Linked DNA regions of Rattus norvegicus. The protein of the gene in region 5 binds, or shares a complex with, the protein of the main gene of each other region. Links are inferred from orthologs where the notes say so. Each region holds a gene or a part of one and is shown on either strand. Other genes may lie near its edges. The genes, in order: Med12, Med18, Ccnc, Med26, Med24, Med13l and Med21.

Region 1 (3,234 bases), on a different chromosome or scaffold from region 5:
ATTTGACTAAAATTAACCATGAAATTCATTTGTTAGTCCATCCTAGAGTACAACTGCTTTTTCTCCCCTTGAGAAAGGGTCTCATGTAGCTCAGACTGGCCTCAAACCATTATGTAGCCAAGGAAGACCTCCTCCCTGTACCTCTTGCGTGCTACCACTGCAGTTGTGCATGACATAGCAGGCTTTGTGTAGGGCTAAGGATCAGACTCGAGACATCATGCATGCTAAGTAAGCATGCTATCAAGTAAACCTTATCCTCAGTCCTGGTGTTAACTGTTTAATTCTGGATTTAGCAGTCTGTATCATATACTGTATCTATAAACCCCAGGTTCTTATCAAAGTTAGATATTTGTTTCTTCTGTCAGTTCCTCAAGGATTTCTTCCAACTCAGGTCATTTGTGGCAATACTTACATGACCAGATTAGTGTTCTTAATGCCTCCCAAAGTTCAGGCCCATTTATCACCTTCAAGTACAGGGTTTCCCAAATCAGATGCTTGCTTATACCTGCTTATACCTCAGTATCCCTTGCCAGTTCACTACTACTTTGGGTACCTTTGAGTGGAAGTCAGTCCATGCCCATAGGTTGGGGCCTGCTGATGCACATAGCCACTGGGCCGCTGTTGCAGGTGACGGGTAGGATCTACAAGAGTAGGATTGGTAGAAGGGTGGGTGCTCTGATAAGGCTGGCTGGAGTAGCTGGGGGGCACCATGGTACCTGCAGGGCCTGTGTGTTGCTGCAATCCCACATGAGAGACATAGGACGTATAGCCCTGGAGGGAAGGAGGAGAGATCTGGGGAATGAGGAAGTACAGCAACTCGCTTCCCTCTCCCTGAGGTTACTAGTCTCAGGCACTTACCTGGGAACTCTGCAAACCATAGGAAGAACTAGGAGTCATCTGATGGACAGATGACTGTCCCAACATTCCCTGACTCTGCTAAAGGGAAAAAGGAGAACTCAAGTTCAGGAAATGCTTTCTGCCATGTCTCTTTTATACCTCTGACCCTGCATGCTCCTGTGAAGGTTCCAAGTATCTCCTCAGTCCTCTGACCCACCAAAACCCCTCTCCCTGGCAGTCCTCCCTACTGCCCCTCTCACTATCTTTGCCTGGAGCTGTTGGCGAAGGCGCTGTCCCTGGGGCACTGTGGGTTGCTGCTGCCGGTACACAGAGGTCTTATAAGAAGAGGGTTCTAGGCCCATGACAGTAGTCATAGTTGTAGGCAGCACACCGGGGTAAGTTGGTCGAGTTGGCAGCTTCTGCATTGGTAATCGCACAGGGCGATATGGGTCCACACGAGGGCCACCTGGAAAGGAGAACAAATTGACCTCTCGGAGATCCTTATCCCTTCAGCCTCATTTTTTTTTTTTTAACAGTTCCAGCCATCGACATTTCCCCTGGGAAGGGAGGAATGTTCAACTCCACCAATCCTAGTGACTAGTACTTACCAGCAGGCAGTGGCTGGTTTTGGGTGTACAGGCCCATGGAGCTCTGCCTGTAGCTAAGGTGGGATATAGAACCTGGATTTGCATGGTGTAGAAGGTCTGGAGGCACTGTCACACCATAGGGACCACTCCGACCTGGCCCCATGCCATAGTCCTGTATGGGTGCAGAGGACAAAGGTAAGTGACTTACAGCAGTTCTGGGTGGGGAGGTGAGGGAGGAGGGTGTAAGGAGGAGCGGTACTGATCCAATTCACTGGATCATGATTCTAATGGCACCTCTTCCCTATGTACTGCACACCTCCCATAAAGCAGGAACTTTAGCTTCCAACTACACATGAAGTCAGGAAAAGGGCTTGGGTGGGATGGGGACTGGCCTCGCTCTTGGTGGCTGGCTGACTGCGTTTCTTGCCCTTGGTAGATTTCTTCTTGCGCTCCTCTGTGCTGGGAGGAGCAGTCCCTGGTTTGTCAGTCTTGGGGGGCTCAGGAGCCTTTTTCTCAGGCTCTAGTAGGGCAGGGGCTGGTGGCTCCTCATCTTCTGGGGGCAGAGGTAGTGGCTCCAGGTAATAGGCTCTGGGTCGAGGCCTCAGGTGGGTATGGTAGAGCAACAGTCGTTGCTGCTCCTCCCCTCGTGCCACTCGGCGGTCCACTCGGACTGTGCCAAACCAGGCCCATGATAGTGGTGCTGTTGATGGCTTCAGGCCCTCAAAAAGCTCCCAAGGAGAGATCTTTTGTTTGGTGGAAACTTGTAGACCCTGCTCCAGCAAAGGAGAAACAATGAGCCACCGAGACTTGGAAAATAGGAGGATGTCTAGAAAGGGCAAACTATCTGTTGATAAGTTTTCAAAGTATGAAAGAGTGGTAAGTAATCGGGGATGTGAGGAGAAGAGGAGAGAGACACTAACACAGAGATACATGAAGGACAGACTCTGCCTGGGCACAGTTGAACTGAAGGAGAAGAAGAGAGAGACACTAACACAGAGATACATGAAGGACACACACTCTGCCTGGGGCAGAGCTGAACTGAAGGAGAAGGGGGCAAAGGGGAAAGGGGACACCAGGAGAGAAAGAGGGTACTAAAGAGGCAGATAAGGAAACAGAGATGGAGGGGAGGAGAGAAGCTGACAGAAGATGAGGGAAAGAAAGAAGCCAGAGAGAGGGGAGGGAAAGAAGGGAGAGGAGAGAAAACGGGAAGGAGAGAAGAGGAGAGGAGAGAGAAGGAAAAATTAAAGAGGGCAAAGAGAGGCAGTCAGAGAGAAACAGGAAGAGAAAGACAGGGATAGGGACAGAGAGACGGAGAGCAGCCAGAGGAGAGAAACATGATAAGAAAGGAATTACGAGAATGTGTACACTGAGGAGCTTTGCTTTGCATTTGAACCTCTGTATCCCCCCTTCTCTCTCCGCTATGAAGAATAAATGGTTAATCAAGGAAACACTCAACCAAGTGCTTGATAGAAGGCCTGTGGCTAAGAGCCCTTGCTACTCTTGCATAGGACTCAGGTCTGTTTCCCAGAACCCACATCAGGTGGTTCACAACCACATGGAACTCCAACTCCCGGTCTCTGTGGGCACCTGCACATGGACATGGCCTACACATACCCAAGCACATAATGCTTTAAATCCAAATACTGAAACCAACATAAAAAATAATAGGAAGCTGAGCTGGGCAAGTAGAGAGACATGGAGAAAAGAGACAAGGAGCCAACAGAATGCTGGGAAATGAGAAAACAGTGGGGCAGAGAGGGGGGCAGGGCATGGAGAAAAGTCAGAGGGGACTGAGACAGGCAGAACAGTA
Region 2 (2,826 bases), on a different chromosome or scaffold from region 5:
CCTCAGTCCTTTTTTATTTTTTTTAAAGATTTAAAATACCATTTTAAATTCTGTGCGAATGTGTTTCAGGGGACAGTATGTACATGTGAGGCTGGAAGTGTTGGGATCCTTGGAGTTGAGTTACTGGCAGTCAGGAGCCACTTGATGTGGGTGGGACTGAACCCAGGTGCAAGAGCAGGACAAACTCTGCACCTCCGAGCCGTTTTCCCAGCCCGAGTCTCCTGAGTGCCCTCATGCCTGGCTCAGTAGAACAACGCTGCTTTGCTGGTGTTAATCTTTTTTTTTTTCTAGTACTAGGAATCGAACCCAGAGCCTTGCGCATTAGTCCTTGGCCACTAAGCTCCATCCCTCAGCTGTGGTCCTTGGCGCCGTGATCATACCCAAGGCCTTGCATTCGGAACCCAGGGCCTCCCACAGGTGTACACCCAGCCATAATGGTTTATTTCTAGCCAACGAAATTCTTCCATTTGTGGAATTACAAATTCAGGTTTTCCTTTTGACTTAATGATCCTTCAGAACACAGCTGGGTGTGGTGATGCGTGTCTTCCCCCCCCCCCCCCCCCCCCCGCCCGCCCGCCCCTTTATCCCTTTAAGACAGGCAGGTCTGGAGCTACAGCCTGATCCACTGACAGAGAAAGATGGGGCCTGGCTTTGAAAACTCCCATTGACACACTTCCTCCTACAAGGACATAATTCCTAACCCTTCCCTAAACGATACCAGGTAAGAGACGAGACACTCAAGTACGGGAGCCTGTGTGGGCCATTCCCAAGCACATCATCACCAGGTATTTGCTACTAAGCCTGACCACCTGTGTTGGACCTGTGGACCCCACAGGAGGAGGAGACTCAGTTCTAGCAGTTCATCCTCCAGCCAGCATTCCCGTGCCACTGTATTCTCGTGTTTGCCAAGACGTGAAAGGCTAAATGTAAGGAAGGTTTGAATAAACAGATAACTAGAATCCCGTGGGTTGTTCTTATGAAAGATCGCATAGGACTATTTATTTGTCGACTGTGTTTATTTTTGCTAGTTTCATGACTCGAAATGAAATGGAAGCCTGGACTCATTGTGCCTTTGCCTCCTCAGGGAGTGTTTTAGACCACAGTTTGGAAAGTCTGATCCATCGCCTCCGTGGTTTGTGTGACAACATGGAGCCTGAGACTTTTCTCGATCACGAGATGGTCTTCCTGCTTAAGGGCCAGCAGGCCAGCCCGTTCGTCCTAAGGGCCCGGCGCTCCATGGATAGGGCAGGGGCGCCCTGGCATCTGCGTTACCTGGGACAGCCCGAAATGGGAGACAAGAACCGCCATGCCCTGGTGCGCAACTGCGTGGACATCGCCACGTCTGAGAACCTCACGGACTTCCTGATGGAAATGGGCTTCCGCATGGACCATGAGTTCGTCGCCAAAGGACACCTGTTCCGGAAGGGCATCATGAAGATTGTGGTGTACAAGATTTTCCGAATCCTGGTCCCAGGGAACACAGACAGCACTGAGGCCCTGTCGCTCTCTTATCTTGTGGAATTAAGTGTTGTCGCACCAGCTGGGCAGGACATGGTCTCTGATGACATGAGGAACTTTGCAGAGCAGCTCAAACCTCTGGTTCACCTAGAAAAAATAGACCCTAAAAGGCTGATGTGAGGAAGAAAGTCTGTCGGCCTTTGAGACCTGTCCTCACGTGGGAGGTGAGAGATCCCACAAGTACCCTAGGTACTGATGCCAGCCAGGCCACTTCCTTCTGGAAGATGGATGGTGAGAATTTGGTTCCTTTGAACTGTTTCCTTCACCTGGTAATTCCTTCCTTCCTTCCTTCCTCCCTTCCTTCCTTCCTTCCTTCCTTCCTTCCTTCCTTTTTTCCTTCCTTTCTTTCCTTTCTTTGTTGTCTGTCTGTCTTCCTTTCTTTTTTCAACAGGGTTTTACCATGTAGCCCTGGCTCCCCTGGAACTCACTACATAAACTAGCTAGCCTGGAACTCAGAGGTCCCTGTCCTGTCCGCCTAGGTGCCTGTGTTAAGGGTCCTTATTGAACCCGACTGTTCATCTTCTTGACAGTCTTTTCCAATGAAAGACCCAGTATAATATGGAGAATTGTTCAAGTCTTCCCTCCACCCAAAAAGAGGGAACTGGAATACATTAGCTTTTTAGAGGGAAAAGTCAAAAAACAACTGATAATTGTTTTTCTTTTGTTTTTTAAGAAAAGTATTTTCTCATTCCTTTATTTATTTGTTGTTTTCTTCATATTTTTTAATTGTGTTGTTTTGCCATTACTATTCAAGGTTCATAATGGTGGTGTGAGCTGGCATTGTGGGGCAATAAAGACTGAAAAGACACAGCTGTGATTCTGATTCTTACTCAGCTCCTTACTATTTTACTTAGGTATTTGCTATTACTGTGTTACTGTCTTGTGGGATGATGTCACAGGTGAGGCAGGCACAAGATAGAAGGAGGCCTGTCATTGGATGAGAAGGAAGGATGGGCGGGAGAAAAAGTTTGAAGGAAGAGGAGGGGACAGAAATGGAAGAGACCGGAGGGACAAGGAGAGAACCGTGGCAGGACAATATGGCGGGTGACGTTAAGATTCCACGCTGCACCTTCACAGGTTGTTACAAATGTTCTTAAGGGATGGATGTGCACTGGGCTTTGTATGTTTAGGTGGGCAATTATATCTTATCAATTGGGCCAAAGGTTATTGTGTTGTGTGTTCTTTCATGTAGCAATTTAAGTGTAAGAAAATGTGCAGCGGCTGGTCTGGGCCGCCACAGAGTTGGGATGTGTGTTTCTGGCATGGAAACCTGCCTTGGGAACTAGATAGGTAGAGAGATCGCTGCCA
Region 3 (3,500 bases), on a different chromosome or scaffold from region 5:
ATCTGGGGTTGGGGATTTAGCTCAGTGGTAGAGCGCTTGCCTAGGAAGCGCAAGGCCCTGGGTTCGGTCCCCAGCTCTGAAAAAAAGAACCAAAAAAAAAAAAAAAAAAAAACAAAAACGTAATCTATAACTTTATGTGCGCACATATATTTATATTTAACCTTCAAAACCCAATAATTAAAACTAAAAACTCAAAACTGAAGATAGTATGTTAAACATGATTTTGCCCACAATTTCTAATCAATTAGACAAAACAGAAAGATTTGGTTAGAGTTAAAATGTAATGCAACATACTGAGAGGGTAAATGAAAATGCTACCTGGAATTGATACCTACTGGCAAAGGTCCAATGGAGTGACCCTAGTCAAATCAACACACTCTAAAGCAGTCCCCAGGCCCAGGAATAGTTGGACAACACAAAATTAACTACATGGCTTTTGTCCTTGGTTGCTTGATTTTTTTTTTTTTTTGAAGGCTTTTTTGTTTCTTACTGGCTTTGTTTCGATATTTGTCTTATGTTTTTTGTTTTAGTTTTTGCTTTGTTTGAGACACAGAAAATGAACACTAAGCTGGGTGAGTAGGGAAAAGGATCTGCGAGAAGCTAGGGTAGGGGAGAAAACATGGTCAAAATACATTGTATAAAAAAAAACTTTAAGAAAAAGTAACTCAACAACCACAACTAAAAATACACCTCATCTACAAGACCTCTTTATTCAAAAAGACATTCGATACACATCTGGTCCTCAGGACTGAAACCAGGCCTCATGGGAACTAGGTAAACACTATAACTGACTTGTTTATAGACTGACTTATAACTAGATTTATTCAAACTTTATCTCTCTCATGGACAGAGTTAACTTAGGTTCCTAGAAAGGGTTTTAGTATTCTAATATATTCAATTCTGCATACTTAAGAGATAATCAAGATGTCATGAATGTTTCTAAGATAAAATGAACACAAAAGAAACAAACTTACTGGTTAAAGTCATTCAATTCACATGGATACAATTATCCTAAAGACATTACCTAAGAACAGAAACAATAGACTAGGAATTGTGTGGATTAGCTAAGAAAAAAGCCAGTTCTCAGAATCTGCTACTATTTGGGCTTTAGGGGGTAGTTACACTTTCTCAATAATATTGCAAACAGTAAGTTGAGCAGAAATGCAGTTCCCAGTCCAAGTCCTTCTCTGTCTTCTCTTACTTACCTTTTCTGCTCTCACTATCCACACTTCCTTGCTGGAGTCTATAAAGTCTTTTCTACCTTTTTGCTCTCCCACAGTGGCTTGTTACCAGAGAAGTCAGGTGTAAACAAAAAGCATGTGGGTGAGGAGCAGAGACATTCTCAGGCCATAGTAGATAAGCTGTGCTACCTCCTTTGTTTTCTTTCTTTCTTTTTCTTTTTTCTTTTCTTTTTTTTTTTTTTTTTTTTTTTTTTTTTTGGTTGTTTTAAGACTGGGTCTTACTACAAACCTCTGGCTATCTTGGAACTTAGAATTCACTGTGGTTCAAGCTGGCCTTGAATACATAGAGATCCACCTGCCTCTGCCTCCCAGGTGCTGGGATTAAAGGCATGCACCACCACACTCAGATAAATAGTCTTTTAAAGACAGCAAGCAATTAAGTTACAGGATGAAGATCTAGACTATTGGAACCACTGACCCAGTATACGAACACTGCTCTCTCTATGCCCTAGTTTCCTCATTTCTAAAATGACAATTGTAAATGCTACAGTTCTGAGGGGATTCCTTTCCCCAGTGTTGCATCTCTGAAGGAAAGGCATCTTCCCAGTCAGGAGCCAAGGAATACCACAAAGTCACACTGCACAACAAAGTTCACATAAAGACTTATTGGGAATGACAAGAGAAGGTGTTTGCAACCCTGCTTGGGTAAGGAGGAGAAGCAGCAGAAACCTAAGAAGGTAGGCTGTATTTGAGGGTGGGGGGCAGGATTGTTTTCCAGGGTAGCATGGGCCTGATCTTGGGGCAAACTCAGGGACTGGAAGGATTCTTTTTCTTGGCCTTGGTTTCTTGCTTGGGCTCAAGTCAAGGTGTTCTTTCCCTGGCCCTGATCTCAGGGTCAAACCAGGGTCAGGGTCTTTGGTCCTTTGACCCCACATGGATACTACTGCCATATACTCCAGAGTTACAGGATTGAATTAGAACTTGCAAAGGAATAGAGATGTAAATAAGAAATACCCAAGTTAATAAAGATGAAAAAAAAAAGAAAAAAAAAGAACTTGCAAAGGGCTCATTAAATCATCTGATACATAAAATATTTATTAAAAAAATAAAAACATTTTCAAGATGTGCATATTAGTTCCTATAAACTATCATAGGATAACTATGATTAACCATACAAAAGCAATATCTATCTATCTATCTATTTATCTATCTATTTATCTATCTATCTATCTATCTATCTATCTATGATAAACCAGACATATCAATATTTTCATGAAGAACAGAAAATTGTTTTATACCTCTACTTTGGATGCCAGAAACACACATGTAGGAGCCATTAATACAGGATCTATACTTTTCAGAGAATACCTAAAATATGATTAGACAAGAGTTAAATGATGACTATTTAGAAAACACACTGGGGTGGGGGTGGACTTTGGGAATCATAATTCTACAGTAAACAAGTGATTTACTTATTTTATATATTGTACATGGAAATTAGAAAAGAATTCCAACCAGGCATTAAAAATAATAAATAAAACAACCATACCTGGCATAGAATCTCTTGAAATAGACTGTAGCAGTAGCAATAACTTGTTGTCTTAATTTAAGATGTTCCCCTAATGCTTGGATAACTAAAAAAAGAATACGTTTAAATGTACCATCTGTCATCAGTATACCAACACTAATAACCTTAAGTTTTATTAGTGATTTCTACGTTGCAATCATGACCATTTCACATCTAGGCACACTCTGACACCCTCTGAACTCCAGTAGTCTAAGACTTACAAATGCAGCAATATTCATAAACAATAAGAGAAACTGCCTGCAATTTATCCTTGCAATATAAGCAGGCTGAGTATCAAATATTCTTTCTTTACTACATATTTTAATGCTTTTCATAATAGCTATAGAGTAGCTTAAAAATTAAGACAGATATTGTTATTTACCAAGAAATCCATAGTTAATCTTTGATATAAGGACAAGGTAGGATTGCAGAGAATAACGGAATTAAAGCTAGGTGACAGGATGGGGAGATGGCTCAGGAGTCAAGAGCATAAGACCTGGGTTCCATTCTTAACACCTACATGGTGGCTCATAGTCCTCTGTAACTCCGTCAGGAGATCCTAACTTCCTCAGCATCAGGCACAGCAGATAACTGCCCAGATACCGGCAAAGTGCAAATCACATAAGATAAATACAATAAACAAACAACACAAACAAACAAAAGAACAGGCAGCAAAGCTATCCCAGACACAGTAAAGGGCTCTTGATTAAATCTCCTTCTTGCTAATGCAAAGTTATAAGGCAAAATGACAA
Region 4 (4,025 bases), on a different chromosome or scaffold from region 5:
TGTCCCCGTTTTGTATTTTTTCCATGAACATCCTAAATATGTGTCAATTACCAAGTGGTGGAGCTCATAACTGGGCAGATCAGAGCAAGAGCAGAGATCCCTGCACCAACATGCGGCTCTTACCTGGGCCCTGAACAATCACAGAGACAATGCAAATGGCCGGGCACCCCTCAGCAAGAAATGGAGGACAGTGCTCCAGGCTGATTCTACAAAGAGATTCTGCAAAGCTAGCCCCTAGAACATATACCTAGTTGTTTTTGTGGATAGTCACTGACACATTGCATCTAGGGAAACACTCCCCTCCTCACTCAGAGATAAGTTCTCAACTCCAGCCACAACAAGGTCTCCTATCACTACAGCCCTTTGAGATACACACTCCAAGCAACTTACTCACAGGCCAATGAGCACTTAGGACCAAGGGAAGATTCAAGAAACTAAAGTTGGAGGCCAAGCATGGTGGCACATACCTTTAATCCCAGCATTTGGGATTAAAGCAGGTAAAAGCAGACAGGTTCTGTGAGGACACCCTGGTTTACATACATAGTGACTTCCAGAGACAGTCTCAGAAAAAAGACACAAACTAAAATTTGGGCCCTCTATCTTCCTTCTTCTATCCCCAAAGGGTCTTTTAGTCAGACCCTTACCTAGCACTTGGACCCCACCTGATCTACAACATCATGACTACCTGTCAAAGCACTTGCTGATCCCAACACTCTCACATGCAAGCAGTCAGGATCTCTGAGAAGATCTCAGCAAGGAGTTACACAGGTGTAAGATTTACAATGTGGAAGAGAGGAGCAGTGATAGTGCAAGCATTTAATCCCAGCACTCAGAAGGAAAAGGCAGGAGAATCTCTGAGGCCAGCAGCATGGTCAAAGAGCAAGTTCTAGGATAGCCAGACCTACACAGAAGAGGAACCCTTCTCGAAAAACAACATCAAAAAGATTACACTATACACTATAGCTTCAGCAAAGATGCAAAAGCCATCAAGGCTATGTTTTCCTATCACTTATTTTTACCTTTTAATATCCTAATATATCAATCATGTGATTAGTCAGCTATTACCAATCACTGGCAAAAAACAAAACAAAACAAAAAACCCTTAAACCCGCCCCCCAAAAAAGAAAGGTTTTCTAGAAGATTTTTATCTAGCCTGTCTCTATTCCACCACAAAAAAAAAAAAAAAGTCTACAATATTTACTAAATTACTATCGACGTGATCCTAAAGACTAGGAAGAGAATAATTTTGAATCTGGCAAGTAGATTCTCATAGAAACTAGAACATCTCTATTTCTACCAAGACCACACAAACAATGTGAATTATTCTGAACACACAATACAGCACATTGCTACAAGTAACTAGCCAAGCATAGGCAAGGGAACCCAAAAAGGTTCAAACCTCTGTTACCTGGTCCAAGATGATTTTTTTTCTTCCATCCTGGGCATATTAAAAAGTGATCTCAAAAGCCACTTCCTGGTTTCCCAGCAAACACTTCATATCTGAATGCCTGTGCATCTTCCCATGGCCCTACTCCTGACAGCAACAAGGACACCCGCCCCCTGCACTGCCAACAAACCTTTGGAAAAAATACAAGAACAAGTAAAATTAGTCTACACTCACACAGGAAGAAAAAAGGCGTCCTACTGCTCACAGGACTCTTGACAGAGGAAAGTGTGATCCCTTACAATTAAATCTTGACAGCCTAGAGTCCAAAGCACCTCAGGTGGAGCAAGAGAGATGGAAAGAGGACCGGAAGATAGGGATAAGAGAACAATCTACTGTGATCGGCAGTATTTCAGTACTAAAATCCCAGGCTTTAGCTACTGGTCAGACGCGCAATGGAGCATTTAGGCCAAGAGAGGTGACAGGAAGGGTCCCACTCTCTGCAGAGTCGTCTTTTCTAGGAAGCGACCCACTATCAGAAGAGAGGATACTCTCCAGGCATCACAGGAAGACAGACTGATGGCAGAACAGGCCTAGGGTTCCCTACGAATCCAAGAAGGGGATTCGCTAGAAGACCGAGGGGGAGTAAAGGCCAAGACTCCAGAGACGCGGGCTACCCGAGTCATCGCGGAGACACCAGTTGCTTTCTACCTTGTCCCCCGGCAGGGAGACCTTTCCGGGGGGTTCTCAGTTCCCGGGGTTGGGGTGAGGCAAGAAGGGCACGGTGGGGAGCACCAAGGGCAGCCGGGCTGGGACAACCGAGGAGAACCAGCTCTCATCAAAGCTCCGAACGATCCCTCAGTCCAGGCCGCGTGAAGCCTCGGCCTCAGGTACCCTCAGCTGCCGGGGTACCCGCCTTGCCTTCGGCCTCCGGACCCAGGAGAACGAGACACCGAGATGGCAGCGGCCGTGGCGGGCAGATCACCGCCCGGAGAGAACCCCTGGCAGGGGCGCGTCGGAGGGGGAGGGTCCCGACACATGCGGCCTCGGTCCCCGATCGCGCGGCAGTCACTTACGTTGCTCTGGGAGTCGATGGCCTGTAGCAGCCGGTCCCTCATCTGCTGCGGAGACGCCGGAGCCGCTGTCATTGCCTGGGCGAAGCGGGGGGGAGCGGCCGGGCCGGCGGGCGGGCAGGCTGAGGAGGGGGGACGCAGGTCAGTCACTCGCCGGCCTCCGGGAACGGAGCCGCATGTTCCCCGCGGCGCCAGAGGAGGTCGAGGCGCTCGGGGAGATGGCGGAGGACGGAGGAAAGCGGAGGGGACCGGAGCTCAGGCCCCGGACCGCCGCCGCCACCGCCGAGCAAGGAGGAGGAGGAGCCGACGGAGAAGCCTCCGCCACTACCGCCGCCGCCGCCGCCTCGAGAACCAAACTCCAGTGAGCTGCCCCCGCGCTGAGCACTCTGGGTAACCCGCGCCGCACGCAGCGTCGGCGCCACGCTGAGGAGGTTGGGAGATGGGGGCGGGTGGAGACGCCGGGTTTGGGAGGGGCCGGCTTGTGAGCCCCGCCCATTGATTCTGCGCACGCGCACGCATGCGCACTTATCAGGTCCTGCCGCCGGGTTCTAAGGCCGGATCCAGAGAGCCGTTGGGAGACGGTTGGGCGTGGCAACGGACGCTATCCGAAGGTCACGCCCACTCCGGACTAGGGGGCGGGGCTTCCTAACGGAAGCTCACATGCCAAGTCCTGGAACACCGGCTCTTCCTGCTAACTGCTTTGGGGTTGCGGAATGGTAAGACCCTCCACCGGATGAGGACCTCTAGCTTTGAGGAATCAGAGGATTGGAGCGGCCATAGGGACACTAAGAAGGGCAGCGGTTGTCTGCGTTGAGACCCGTGCGGCGAGTAGCTCGGAGAATCTAGGCGCAGCCGTCGCCGCTGCAGAGGCCCCAGGCGCGGATCTGCAGGGCAGTGAGTGTCCCCATGTGACCCGCGCGCTGCTGGGACCTAAGGGCACGTATGGGAGCTGCCGCCTCCGCCGAGGGCTCGAGTCTGCAAGGCATGCGCGACGCTGACACCTTGGCTGTGCATCCACGAGGGGCTGGAACTCAAGAAGAAGCACCGCTCTTTTTTTTTTTTTTTTAATTCTTTTTTTCGGAGCTGGGGACCGAACCCAGGGCCTTGCGTTGAAGCACCGCTCTTGTAGCCCTCCTGAGAGGCGAACTGGAGGTGGCCAGTCTTTGTCTGCACAACAGGATGCGGAACCATCGCTCAGCATCGTCCCCTCCGCATTCGGAGCGGACGGAACGATCCCTGCTTTGCACCCCAGCCACTGGAAAACAGGAACGCCTCACCGAGGAGGAAGGGAAGCGCCAAGGTCACCGTGAGTTTTAGGTCAAACCAAGAAACGAAGGATATCAAGTATAAGGGCTGTGGTCTCCGGCAGGTGGAGTGGGAGGGCGGGCTCCGAGTTTAGCGCACTGTATTACAGTGGCTTCGGGAGAAATAACTTTCGTTTTGTGTCGTAACCTTAAAAATCCAGACATGAAACGGAAGGGAAACAGGTAATGAAAATCACATGTACTCCTGAGAGCTGCGGGACACCTGTTAATTTTAATTTGTTATACTTCTAGGGAGTGCTGGAG
Region 5 (3,500 bases):
GTGAGTCAGTGGTACAAGCTGTGTCAAGCTGGTGAACTCACTAAATGCCTCGCCACCCTCCCACCAGTGATAAGGGAGGAGGACCTGTGGGGTCAGAGCACCCACTAGGGACAGAGAAGTGCAAGCTCCTGCTCTGCCAGACGGCCATGAGCTGGGAGTCGAGGAAGCTCGTGAGGGAGGAGTGAGTCCTGGGCAGGCCCATGATCCCCAAGTGCTCACTAGGACTTGACAGGATGCTGGCATCATCCTCATTGGAGCTCAGGAGCCGCATAAGCTTTGAAGGCTGCATGTCCTCCACAGGGAAGAGGCTGATATAATCCTGGGGACAAGGAGTCACTGTCACACACTCGACTTCCTAAGTCTCCAGGAGCTGGAGAGGACTGGAGGGCAGATCTGACTGGAGAAGTGAGCTTCCTACAGTCCTTGGCCAGCGTTACCAGTGGTGACCCTTCCCATACCCCAATCTCTGCCCAGTGAGCAGAAAAGGATCCTCATCAAGGATACTCAGAGGACCACTCAAGCCACTCCTCTAGACCCTGACCAATCAGACAGGCCCACACACAGATGACCTTAGCCCCAACCTCTGGCTGGGAGAGCACCTCTGCTTTAAGCGATCAGAAAATGTTTGCTGGGTTGGGGATTTAGCTCAGTGGTAGAGCGCTTGCCTAGCAAGCGCAAGGCCCTGAGTTCAGTCCCAGCTCCGGAAAAAAAAAAAGAAAAAAAGAAAATGTTTGCTGAATAAACACATGACCAAGTCAGCAGCAGGCCTACCTCTATGTCTTCTCTGTGCCTCTTCTTCTGGCGTGAGGATGCCTGTCCCTTGTGGGAAGAGTAAGAACTCAGGGCACACCAAACGGCTAGCCTAGCAAAGGTTCCAGGAAAAGGCATAGTTAAGTCGGTCCCAGAAGAAGCTACATGTTCACAGTGAAGGAGCCCCTTCTGTCCCTCACTCCCACCCAGATCCTGGGTGACACCAGACTGAATCTGGATGCTAGATGCTTGGGGCTCAAGAAAAGCTCTGGAGAGAATCCTACTTGGCTAGTGCGGTGCCAGGAGGGTCCATGAGGCTGTGCCACTTGGAGGAGTCAGTAAGCAGCCCAGGCAGGATGTGGCCCAGCAGAACCAGGGTCACTTGTTGCATGTCCAGACAGAAGATGGAGTACAATAGTTGAACTGCCCTTAGCGTGTGCTCCTTGCGAGTCTCCTTCAGCAGTTCCTGAGAGGCAGGCGAGTGGCTCCTGAGGTGCTGCCTGGACCCTAGGATTCTGATGCTCTAACCACCTCAGCAGCCAAAGGTGCTATTCAACCCTAACTCCCAAGGTGCTTCTCTGAGGTGAAGCCCTATCTCCCCAGGAGACCACCCAGCTTCTAGCAATCTCTCAAAGAAGCCTGGCCTATCCCAGACAATGATGTCTCCTGTCCCTGTCCACCTGGCTTGTCCACATACACCCCAGCCCAGCCTATCCCAGCTGATGACATCTCCTCCCCCTGTCCAGCTGGCTGTCCACATGCACCCCAGCCCGGTCTATCCCAACCGATGATGTCTACTGCCCTTATCTATATGGCTGTCCACATGTACCCCAGCCCTAGTACCTTAATCAGGTTGTTGCAGAACCAGTAGACGCCACCCATGTGCAGCAGGGTGTCAAGGATGTGAATGGAGCGGCTGTCCACCCAGCCCTTCTCCAGTACCTTGGCAAAGATGTCTGTCAGTACCTCCTTGATGGGACGCTTGGGAGGAAGCAGGTTCCAGTAGGGCATTGTGTCCACGCCCGTGGATGGAAACTTGATCTGCGTGGCTGTCTGCTGTAGCACGTCCGCACACATGTGTTCCAAGATTGAGTTCATAATCACCACCCTAGGGGAGCAGGGAGGGTACATGCAGGCATTACCCCTGGGTTGGGTTACGGAAACATGGCTGAGGAATTAGACCCATAGTATGCTGGGGAGGACAATACAGTTCACTCCTGGCGAGGAGCTCACTTGCCAGGCCTGAAGCCTAGGAGAGGCACAGACCAGGATTTTCTTCTCTTGCAGATTCCATCAATCCACTCAGATTTTCTGTTTCTCCTCCCCTCAACATCCCCATCCCCTTGTCCCCTCCCCCAGGCCTGAGCACTGCCAAATCAGGGTCATAAATAAACACAATCACTTCCACTTAAGCTGAGCACTTGGGGGAGGGGGTCCGACCCAGCCCTGGCACCCTCCCAAAGTAAACTGTAACTTCCAGGAGAGGCCTTTAGGCTGCCCCATGAGACTCTTCCCGGCCCTGGGCAGCTGGGCAAAATGTGCACGGCCTGGAATCCTCTTGGGAACATCTGGGCTGCAAACACAGCTGGGGTCTGAGTACTAACTGCTGGGATGTCAGGGTGCAGAGAGTGCAACCTTGACTTTCAGAGCCCCTCTGTGCCCGTGTGCTAATGTGTGTGTGTGTGTACGTGTGTATTTGTGTGTGTGCGCGCGTGCGTGCGTGCATGCGTGTGTGTGTGTTATAGTGTGTGTGTGTGTGTGTGTGTGTTATACACACTTAATTTGGATGATGTCCCACAGGCAGGGGAGTGCAGATAAGAGTGTACAGAGCCTCCCCAAACTTTGCTTGGGCTGTTTCCATATGTCCCTCAGAAAGCATCTTCAGCAGCTGCCCTGCAAGCCAGCCCAGCCCCACATACACAGCAACTCTCTCCAAGTCCCCTTGAGGGGCACGGATATGCAATGTTACTCAGCCTTAAAAGGAAGGAAATCCTGTCACATGCCAGAGTATGAATGAATTTTGAGGAAATTATGCTGAGTAAAGTCAGTCAGTCATGAAAAAGCAGGTATTACGTAATTCTAGTTATACGAAGTATCTAGTGTAGTTGCTCAGAGGGACAGACAGCAGCACGGTAGCTGCCGGGAACCCAGAAGGGGGGGTAGACAGTTGCTTATTGGCTAAAAGGCTCGGATACACAAGATGAAAATGTCTGGAGATCTGTGTCACAACCCACATCCTGAGTGACACACAAACACAGTTGAAATGGCAAATTTTCTATTATGTGCTTCACGCCACATTTAAAAACCAACAGCCCAACAACCTAACAGTTGGGGGGAATGAACGGACACCACCAGCCCGTGTGGCGGAAGTCCCTCAAGAGCCAGTACTTGAAATGGTCACCAGGACAGCTGGGGGTGGGGGAGGGCAGCTATAAAAACTGCAGATGCCTCAGAGTTCCTCGACAGTGACACAGCCATATAATCCCTTTGCTCTTCTGCCTCAGCTGGTTCTCTACAACTTGGAGTCTTTGAGGACAGAAGCCAAGCTGTCTGGGGTCCATATTTCCCACTCATGGACTGCAGGGTTAAAACCCTCTCGATCCAGAGAGACACCAACTACCTGCTGTGCCAGTTGAATGAGTGTGTGACAAAGAATGTGAGGGAGTGGTAGGGAAGGGAAGCCGTAAGCCGAGAGGGAAAGGAGAGTCCAGCCACCCTAACTGGGCACGGCCTGGGCAGCACAGCAAGGT
Region 6 (3,500 bases), on a different chromosome or scaffold from region 5:
GCTGGGTTTGCGTCCACTCTACAGCTACGGCTTTGCGTCTCTGCCTGTGCACTTTTCCTAGAGGCCACAACTCTGCAATGATACTGAAGTGGCTGTAACCAAATCCACATTCAAATGTGGTGCTTTCCTAAGTCAGATGGTAGCCCTGGTAAGGCGTGAGTGTCCCCAGCACTGTGTGACTGCTGTGCCCATCTGTCTGTCTAGCACAGGGCTTAGTGTCTGTCACTCAGCAGTCACTGGGAAGGACACACCAAGAGGTCCCTGAGGGTCCCCTTCTTCCTTCAATCTCTCTCAGTTCTGAGACAGACAGGGCTGTTTATCTCATGAGCAGTGGCTTGGGGAGATCACGTCTGCAGCATGTGCATGCCCTGCCACTCTAAAGCTGCCCTGAAGCACACCCTCAACAACTCCCACAGGCCTGTAGACAGCGCACAGGCTCAAGCTCACTATGTGCACTCGCAAGGACTTCAGTCCTAATGACTCGACACATGAAGCCTGTGCTCCTCAGTGAGCTTCACACCCATTTACTTCCACAAGCCATCGCCCTGCAGTCTTTTAGAACTTGTACCATTGGCTCAGGTATCTGAACCAGGCAGTAATTACATAAACTTTGACTTACAAGGATTTCTTGGGTTCAGACAAAAGCTGACAGAGAAACTGAATGGTGCAATAAATAACTATCTGTACATTTATTGGATTCCTTTAAATTTTGCTGGTCAACAAGATCCTAAAATGATTTTACAGTGGATTAAAACAGAACCATGATTGCTAGCTGAAAATCTAAATACTTCACTTGTTCCCTAGGTAGAAAACAGTTCATCTTACTTAGCAGCCTCATTCTTCCCTGTTTCCTAAGAAGGAACTGGAAACCAATCCTGAGTGAAAAGTGGGGCAGTCAGCAGAGAGACAGAAGCAAGCATCAGCAAGTATACCAAGCATGACAGGCAAGCCCAGTGCAGTGGCACTGGAGAGCACAGCAGGACCTGGCAGTGCCAAGCTGTGCCACCTGGTAAAGCAGTTCCCAGACCCCAGGGCTAGTTTTAAGGGAAGCAGAGCTAAGAACCCACTAGCCACATGATAAGGAGCCAACACTGGCCACAGCCACATCAGACAGTGTGAGCAAAATCTCTTCCCTTAGCACAGGCTCCACCAGGCCGCCAGTCTAACCTCTGGCTGCAGAGGGTATAGGGGGAAGGCGATGGATGGGTGGGAGTGGCCACTCAGAGAGTGAAGACTATCAGAACCTGTCCAGAGAGTCTGGGGCTGAGGCTCCAGGACCTCGCTCAGCAGCTAGAGCCCAAATAGAGCTTGGCAGAGCCCGGCCAGGCACTCCCAGGGCAGCCGGCCTGGCAGTCCTTTCCCTTCCCCACTGCGGTCTGCAGTCATTGGCTGCTGGAACATTCCCACAGCTCTGGGGAGAATAATCTACTGGAAGGAGCGGAATATCCAGGGCCAGGGTCCTTCAAGCCCACAGTCTTTTCAGGAGGCAGAACTGTCACATGGCATAGGTGCTGGCTTCCAAGTCCAGGGTCCTTCTGCCCCTTCCCACCCAGCTCCTCAAGCTGACACCATGTAAACTGCTGGTGTCTATCACAGACACATGGCCAGAATGAGCCCTGAGGCAGAACTGGTTTACTCGCTCCTAAGGCTCATCATCTTTGAGTTCGCTGCTGGCTCAGATGGGCCAACATACAGTCAGTCTCCCTGCCTGACAACGGTCCCTGAGAAGGGGCAAGTGCTGGAGCCCACTCATCTCCACAATCCCTGCAGTGAGACTGGCAAAGCGCTGGTCCATCCACACATGCACATGGCCCGGACACACATTTGTGTTTGTAAATTTTTGCTTTATCTGAGGAAGAAGTTCTTTCTTTCAAAGAAAACAGAGTTTGCACTGCTGATACAAATATTGTTTCTCTGGGCAGACGAGACACCAAGTCACCAGCAATTTCTCCCTTTACTTTTCCCAATCACGCCTCAATCTGTTACTGTATTACCTAACTTTAAAGTCCCACGCTGAAATCATTACCTTACACAAACCAAAGCTCCTCCCACTACTGACAACCATCAGCAACTCCAATCGGAGGTAGGTTCTACGGCAAACGCCACATTACACTTACACACAGCTCTCTGAAATAATCTTAATTTGTCTACACACACGCTCATGCACAGAGAGACACACGCGCTCACGCACAGAGGAAATCTCATTTAAAAATAAACACACGGTCCTGCAAAAGACAACATGGTCACAAACGAGAGTAAGCAAGAAACCAGTCTGAGCCTGAGCTGCCGTGGCCCTGTGACGAGCACTTGGAAACCAGCATGGTTGCATCGCATGCGGTAAGTGGTAGAGCTGCGCACGTACTTGTAGCCGTCTCTAATGGAAGAGGCTGCAGGGGGCATGGGCAGCTGCTCCATTTTCGGAGGAACCGCCCATGAGGGCCGGAACAGACAGGCATCCGGTGTCTTCAGAGGCAGCAGGCAATGGCTTGGCAGCGTCTTCAGTGGAGCAAACATAGAAGAGCCCACGAAAGGCTGGAACTGCGGCACTCTGTGCACGTAGGAAAAGTCCTGTGACAATGAGGGGCTGGGTTAATGCTGGCACGCCGAAGCCAGCCCTGGGTGCTCAGCGCTTCCTAAAACCCGGGCACAGAATCTGCTGTAGAAACAGCTCTCTACATGACGGAGTGAGAGGGAAAACCTAATGCCCTCACTGCTGGTGAGCAGCGGTCAGTGTCCGTCTACTGACGGGCTCCGGCTTCAACAGCCCTTACACACGCGTGTGTGGGCGCCACCGAGAAGCCGCCCAGCCATGGGGAAGCGCACACACTGGTCATTACCTTTATGTCCTCTGGCTTGGGACTTCCTAAGCCATCTTCCACTTCCATCCGGAACTCCGTGAGGTGTGTGGGGACCATACTGACCACAGGGCTCTCCAGCATGCCCAATGCAGTCACTGTCTCTGAACTCACTCCATCTTTGTAATTCATCACCGGGGAAAATGCAGGATGCTGTTCCAATGATGGAGGGGTGGGGAACATCCTTTGCAAGTCTGCAACTGCTAAAAACAAAATTAAAAGTGCATCTTAACAGCAAGATTCCGAAAAGCTCTGACAAGCAGCCAGGCACAGCAGTATCCACACAAGGCTAACGGACTTTCAAGACACAGGTCACGCTCAGGCGTCCACACGTCCCTGGGACCCCCTCTTCATGCTGTATGGTGTCATGCTAATTCAGTCACCAGGGTCTGCAGAGCATGCTTTCCTTCCCATAGTTGACTCTAAGACCTGAAGGAGACGGGTGGAGAAGAAAGTGAAAGCTCTCCAACTACACTACTTATGAAAGTCTATCTCCATCTCCAGACGTTTATGAAATAGTAAGAGAATAAAAATTATTTAGAGCAAGCCTGGGGGGTGGGTGACTGAATCACACAGTCCTGCTCTTTGGGGAATGATCTCACACTGTCTTTCTAGCCATACAATTTTAGAGTTAAGTAATAATAG
Region 7 (2,231 bases), on a different chromosome or scaffold from region 5:
AGGTGGTAGTAATGCACACTCTTAATCTCAGCACTCTGGAGGCAGAGACAGGATGTCTGAGTTAAAACCAGCCTGGTCTATACAGAGTGAGTCCAGGACAGCAAGGGATACACAGAGAAACCCTGTCTTGGGCAGTAATTTTGTTTGGAATAAGTTTGGCGTATATATCTCAGTACTTATAAAAGGAAAAGGAAGATTACTCTTGCTTGGTTTTTTTTTTTTGTTGTTGTTGTTTGGTTGGTTGGTTTTGGTTTGTTTTTTTTCTTTCTTTCTTTTTCTTTTTTTTTTTTTTTTACTTTCTTTTATTGAGACAGGTTCTCATGTAGCCCAGGTTGTCCTCAAAAACATCTCTGAGGATATCCTTGAAATTCTCATCCTCCTGCCTCCAGGTCCTGGGTTTACAGGTGTGTGCTACCACCTACAGTTTAAGCAGTGCTATGGATCAAACCCAGGGCTTCATGTATGCTATGTAAACAACCATCTGAACTCTGTGTGTGTGTGTACAGGTGCATTTAACCTGTATACATTTATGTAGAGGCCAGAGTTATCTGAGGGTATTTTTCTTATTTATTTATTTATTTATCTATTTATTTATTTGTGTATTTATTTATGACAAGGACTCTCAGTGAGCAGAAAGCTCACATTTTCAACTAGATTAGCTCTCCAGTGAGAACCTAGGGTCTCTGTTGTGGATACAGGGGAACCAACTTTGTGTTTGGTGGTTTTGGTTTTAAAAATTAGCATATGGGACTGGAGAAATGGCTCAGCAGTTAAGAGCTTAGCTGTTCTTTCAGAGCATCTGGATTTAACTCCTAACATCCACATGGTGGTTCACAACTATCTAAAACTCTAGTCCCAGATGATCTGATGGCCTCTGTGGGCACTGAATGCTCATGGTCCTCATACATACACACAGACAAAACACTCATACACATAAATAAAATCAGCATAAAAATGGTTTAGCGGCTGGCAGAGTGGCTCAGCTGAGTAAGTAAAGACTCTGCCCCTAGATCTGACCTGATTTTGAACCTCAGGACCCACACTATAGAAGAAAAGAACAGACTCTTACAACAGTCATTTTTGCAATTCAAATTGACTTTGTTGTCTACTAGTTCAACCACTTTGGTGTCTTAGGATTTGTTTGTTGAGTTTGAAGGAGACATTTCCTTCTTTCTTTTTTTAATATGTATGATGATTTTTTTTTCTACATGTGTACCATGTGGGTGCCTGGTGCCTGTAGAGTCTAGAAGAGGACATTAGGTCCCCTGAGATTAGAGTTATGGCTGTGAGCTGCCATGTGGGTTCTGGAAGTTGAATCCAGGTCCTCTGCAAAAGCAACCAGTGCTCTTACCCATTCAGCCCGTGTTTTCTCTATTGCCGTTTGCGTATCTGCTGGGATGGAGAGAGCTCAGTCTCCAGAGCCACTCAGAACAAATCATTTACAGCTGAGTCTTTGGTTTTCTTGTAGTACAACCCTGGCTGGCCTTGAGCTCAGAGATCAGCCTGCCTCTGCCTCCCAGGTGCTAGCATTAAAGGTGTTAGACGACATAACCTGGCTTTCATGTATTTATTCCTTAAGCTAGATTAATACCAAATTTAATTTACCTAGATTCATATTTGTTTGTATGATTAAACCATTTAATCCAAACTAGATGTAAATAAATCCCTGAAGAGTGGGTGTTTTAGCTGCAGCCTGTGATACTGGGCTCATTTTATTTCAGACTATCCCTTTGTCTGACTGGTTTGTATGGAGAACATTGTTATGAAGAGGTCGTTGCCATTTTTGGTTCTTTTTTTTTTTTTTTTTTTTTCCGGAGCTGGGGACCGAACCCAGGACCTTGCGCTTCCTAGGCAAGCGCTCTACCACTGAGCTAAATCCACAACCCCGGTCGTTGCCATTTTTAATAAAATCCTTAACATTGACAGATCTTTGTAACCTTGACCTTTTTTTCCTTTTGCTCAAGCTTGCAGATCAGTTTTGCAATGCCATTGGTGTATTACAGCAGTGTGGTCCCCCTGCCTCTTTTAGTAACATTCAGACAGCAATTAATAAAGATCAACCAGCCAATCCTACAGAAGGTGAGCTCTGCTTAGTTTGACTGGCATTTTTTTCTACAATTTATAGCTTGTTTGTAAAAAATGTGACTGTGATTAGAGTATATTGCTCTAAGTTTTGCCATAGATTCTTTATTTATTTATTTTTTTTACATATATTTGGTGTATATGTGGGT

The links.
Region 1: Med24 (region 5) and Med12 share a complex: the UniProt entries of both Homo sapiens proteins name them as parts of the mediator complex. The link is inferred for Rattus norvegicus from reciprocal best matches to the Homo sapiens genes MED24 and MED12.
Region 2: Med24 (region 5) and Med18 share a complex: the UniProt entries of both Homo sapiens proteins name them as parts of the mediator complex. The link is inferred for Rattus norvegicus from reciprocal best matches to the Homo sapiens genes MED24 and MED18.
Region 3: Med24 (region 5) and Ccnc share a complex: the UniProt entries of both Homo sapiens proteins name them as parts of the mediator complex. The link is inferred for Rattus norvegicus from reciprocal best matches to the Homo sapiens genes MED24 and CCNC.
Region 4: Med24 (region 5) and Med26 share a complex: the UniProt entries of both Homo sapiens proteins name them as parts of the mediator complex. The link is inferred for Rattus norvegicus from reciprocal best matches to the Homo sapiens genes MED24 and MED26.
Region 6: Med24 (region 5) and Med13l share a complex: the UniProt entries of both Homo sapiens proteins name them as parts of the mediator complex. The link is inferred for Rattus norvegicus from reciprocal best matches to the Homo sapiens genes MED24 and MED13L.
Region 7: Med24 (region 5) and Med21 share a complex: the UniProt entries of both Homo sapiens proteins name them as parts of the mediator complex. The link is inferred for Rattus norvegicus from reciprocal best matches to the Homo sapiens genes MED24 and MED21.

The regions. Positions count from the first base shown.
Region 1 is NC_086039.1:70,461,810-70,465,043, reverse strand, and holds part of Med12 (mediator of RNA polymerase II transcription subunit 12), read right to left. Parts: intron 2,195-3,234; coding exon 1,817-2,194; intron 1,597-1,816; coding exon 1,446-1,596; intron 1,304-1,445; coding exon 1,098-1,303; intron 937-1,097; coding exon 859-936; intron 772-858; coding exon 554-771; intron 1-553. UniProt on the Homo sapiens protein: Component of the Mediator complex, a coactivator involved in the regulated transcription of nearly all RNA polymerase II-dependent genes.
Region 2 is NC_086023.1:149,946,847-149,949,672, reverse strand, and holds the end of Med18 (mediator of RNA polymerase II transcription subunit 18), read left to right. Parts: intron 1-594; exon of another isoform or gene 595-1,032; coding exon of another isoform or gene 1,033-1,084; coding exon 1,085-1,638; 3' UTR 1,639-2,326; downstream 2,327-2,826. UniProt on the Homo sapiens protein: Component of the Mediator complex, a coactivator involved in the regulated transcription of nearly all RNA polymerase II-dependent genes.
Region 3 is NC_086023.1:40,066,683-40,070,182, reverse strand, and holds part of Ccnc (cyclin-C), read right to left. Parts: intron 2,816-3,500; coding exon 2,731-2,815; intron 2,550-2,730; coding exon 2,480-2,549; intron 1,025-2,479; exon of another isoform or gene 975-1,024; intron 1-974. UniProt on the Homo sapiens protein: Component of the Mediator complex, a coactivator involved in regulated gene transcription of nearly all RNA polymerase II-dependent genes.
Region 4 is NC_086034.1:17,332,545-17,336,569, reverse strand, and holds the start of Med26 (mediator of RNA polymerase II transcription subunit 26), read right to left. Parts: upstream 2,801-4,025; 5' UTR 2,533-2,800; coding exon 2,461-2,532; intron 2,437-2,460; exon of another isoform or gene 1-2,436. UniProt on the Homo sapiens protein: Component of the Mediator complex, a coactivator involved in the regulated transcription of nearly all RNA polymerase II-dependent genes.
Region 5 is NC_086028.1:84,162,380-84,165,879, forward strand, and holds part of Med24 (mediator of RNA polymerase II transcription subunit 24), read right to left. Parts: intron 1,859-3,500; coding exon 1,594-1,858; intron 1,217-1,593; coding exon 1,035-1,216; intron 863-1,034; coding exon 772-862; intron 320-771; coding exon 220-319; intron 1-219. UniProt on the Homo sapiens protein: Component of the Mediator complex, a coactivator involved in the regulated transcription of nearly all RNA polymerase II-dependent genes.
Region 6 is NC_086030.1:43,491,320-43,494,819, forward strand, and holds part of Med13l (mediator of RNA polymerase II transcription subunit 13-like), read right to left. Parts: intron 3,059-3,500; coding exon 2,838-3,058; intron 2,569-2,837; coding exon 2,363-2,568; intron 1-2,362. UniProt on the Homo sapiens protein: Component of the Mediator complex, a coactivator involved in the regulated transcription of nearly all RNA polymerase II-dependent genes.
Region 7 is NC_086022.1:181,294,274-181,296,504, forward strand, and holds part of Med21 (mediator of RNA polymerase II transcription subunit 21), read left to right. Parts: intron 1-1,964; coding exon 1,965-2,079; intron 2,080-2,231. UniProt on the Homo sapiens protein: Component of the Mediator complex, a coactivator involved in the regulated transcription of nearly all RNA polymerase II-dependent genes.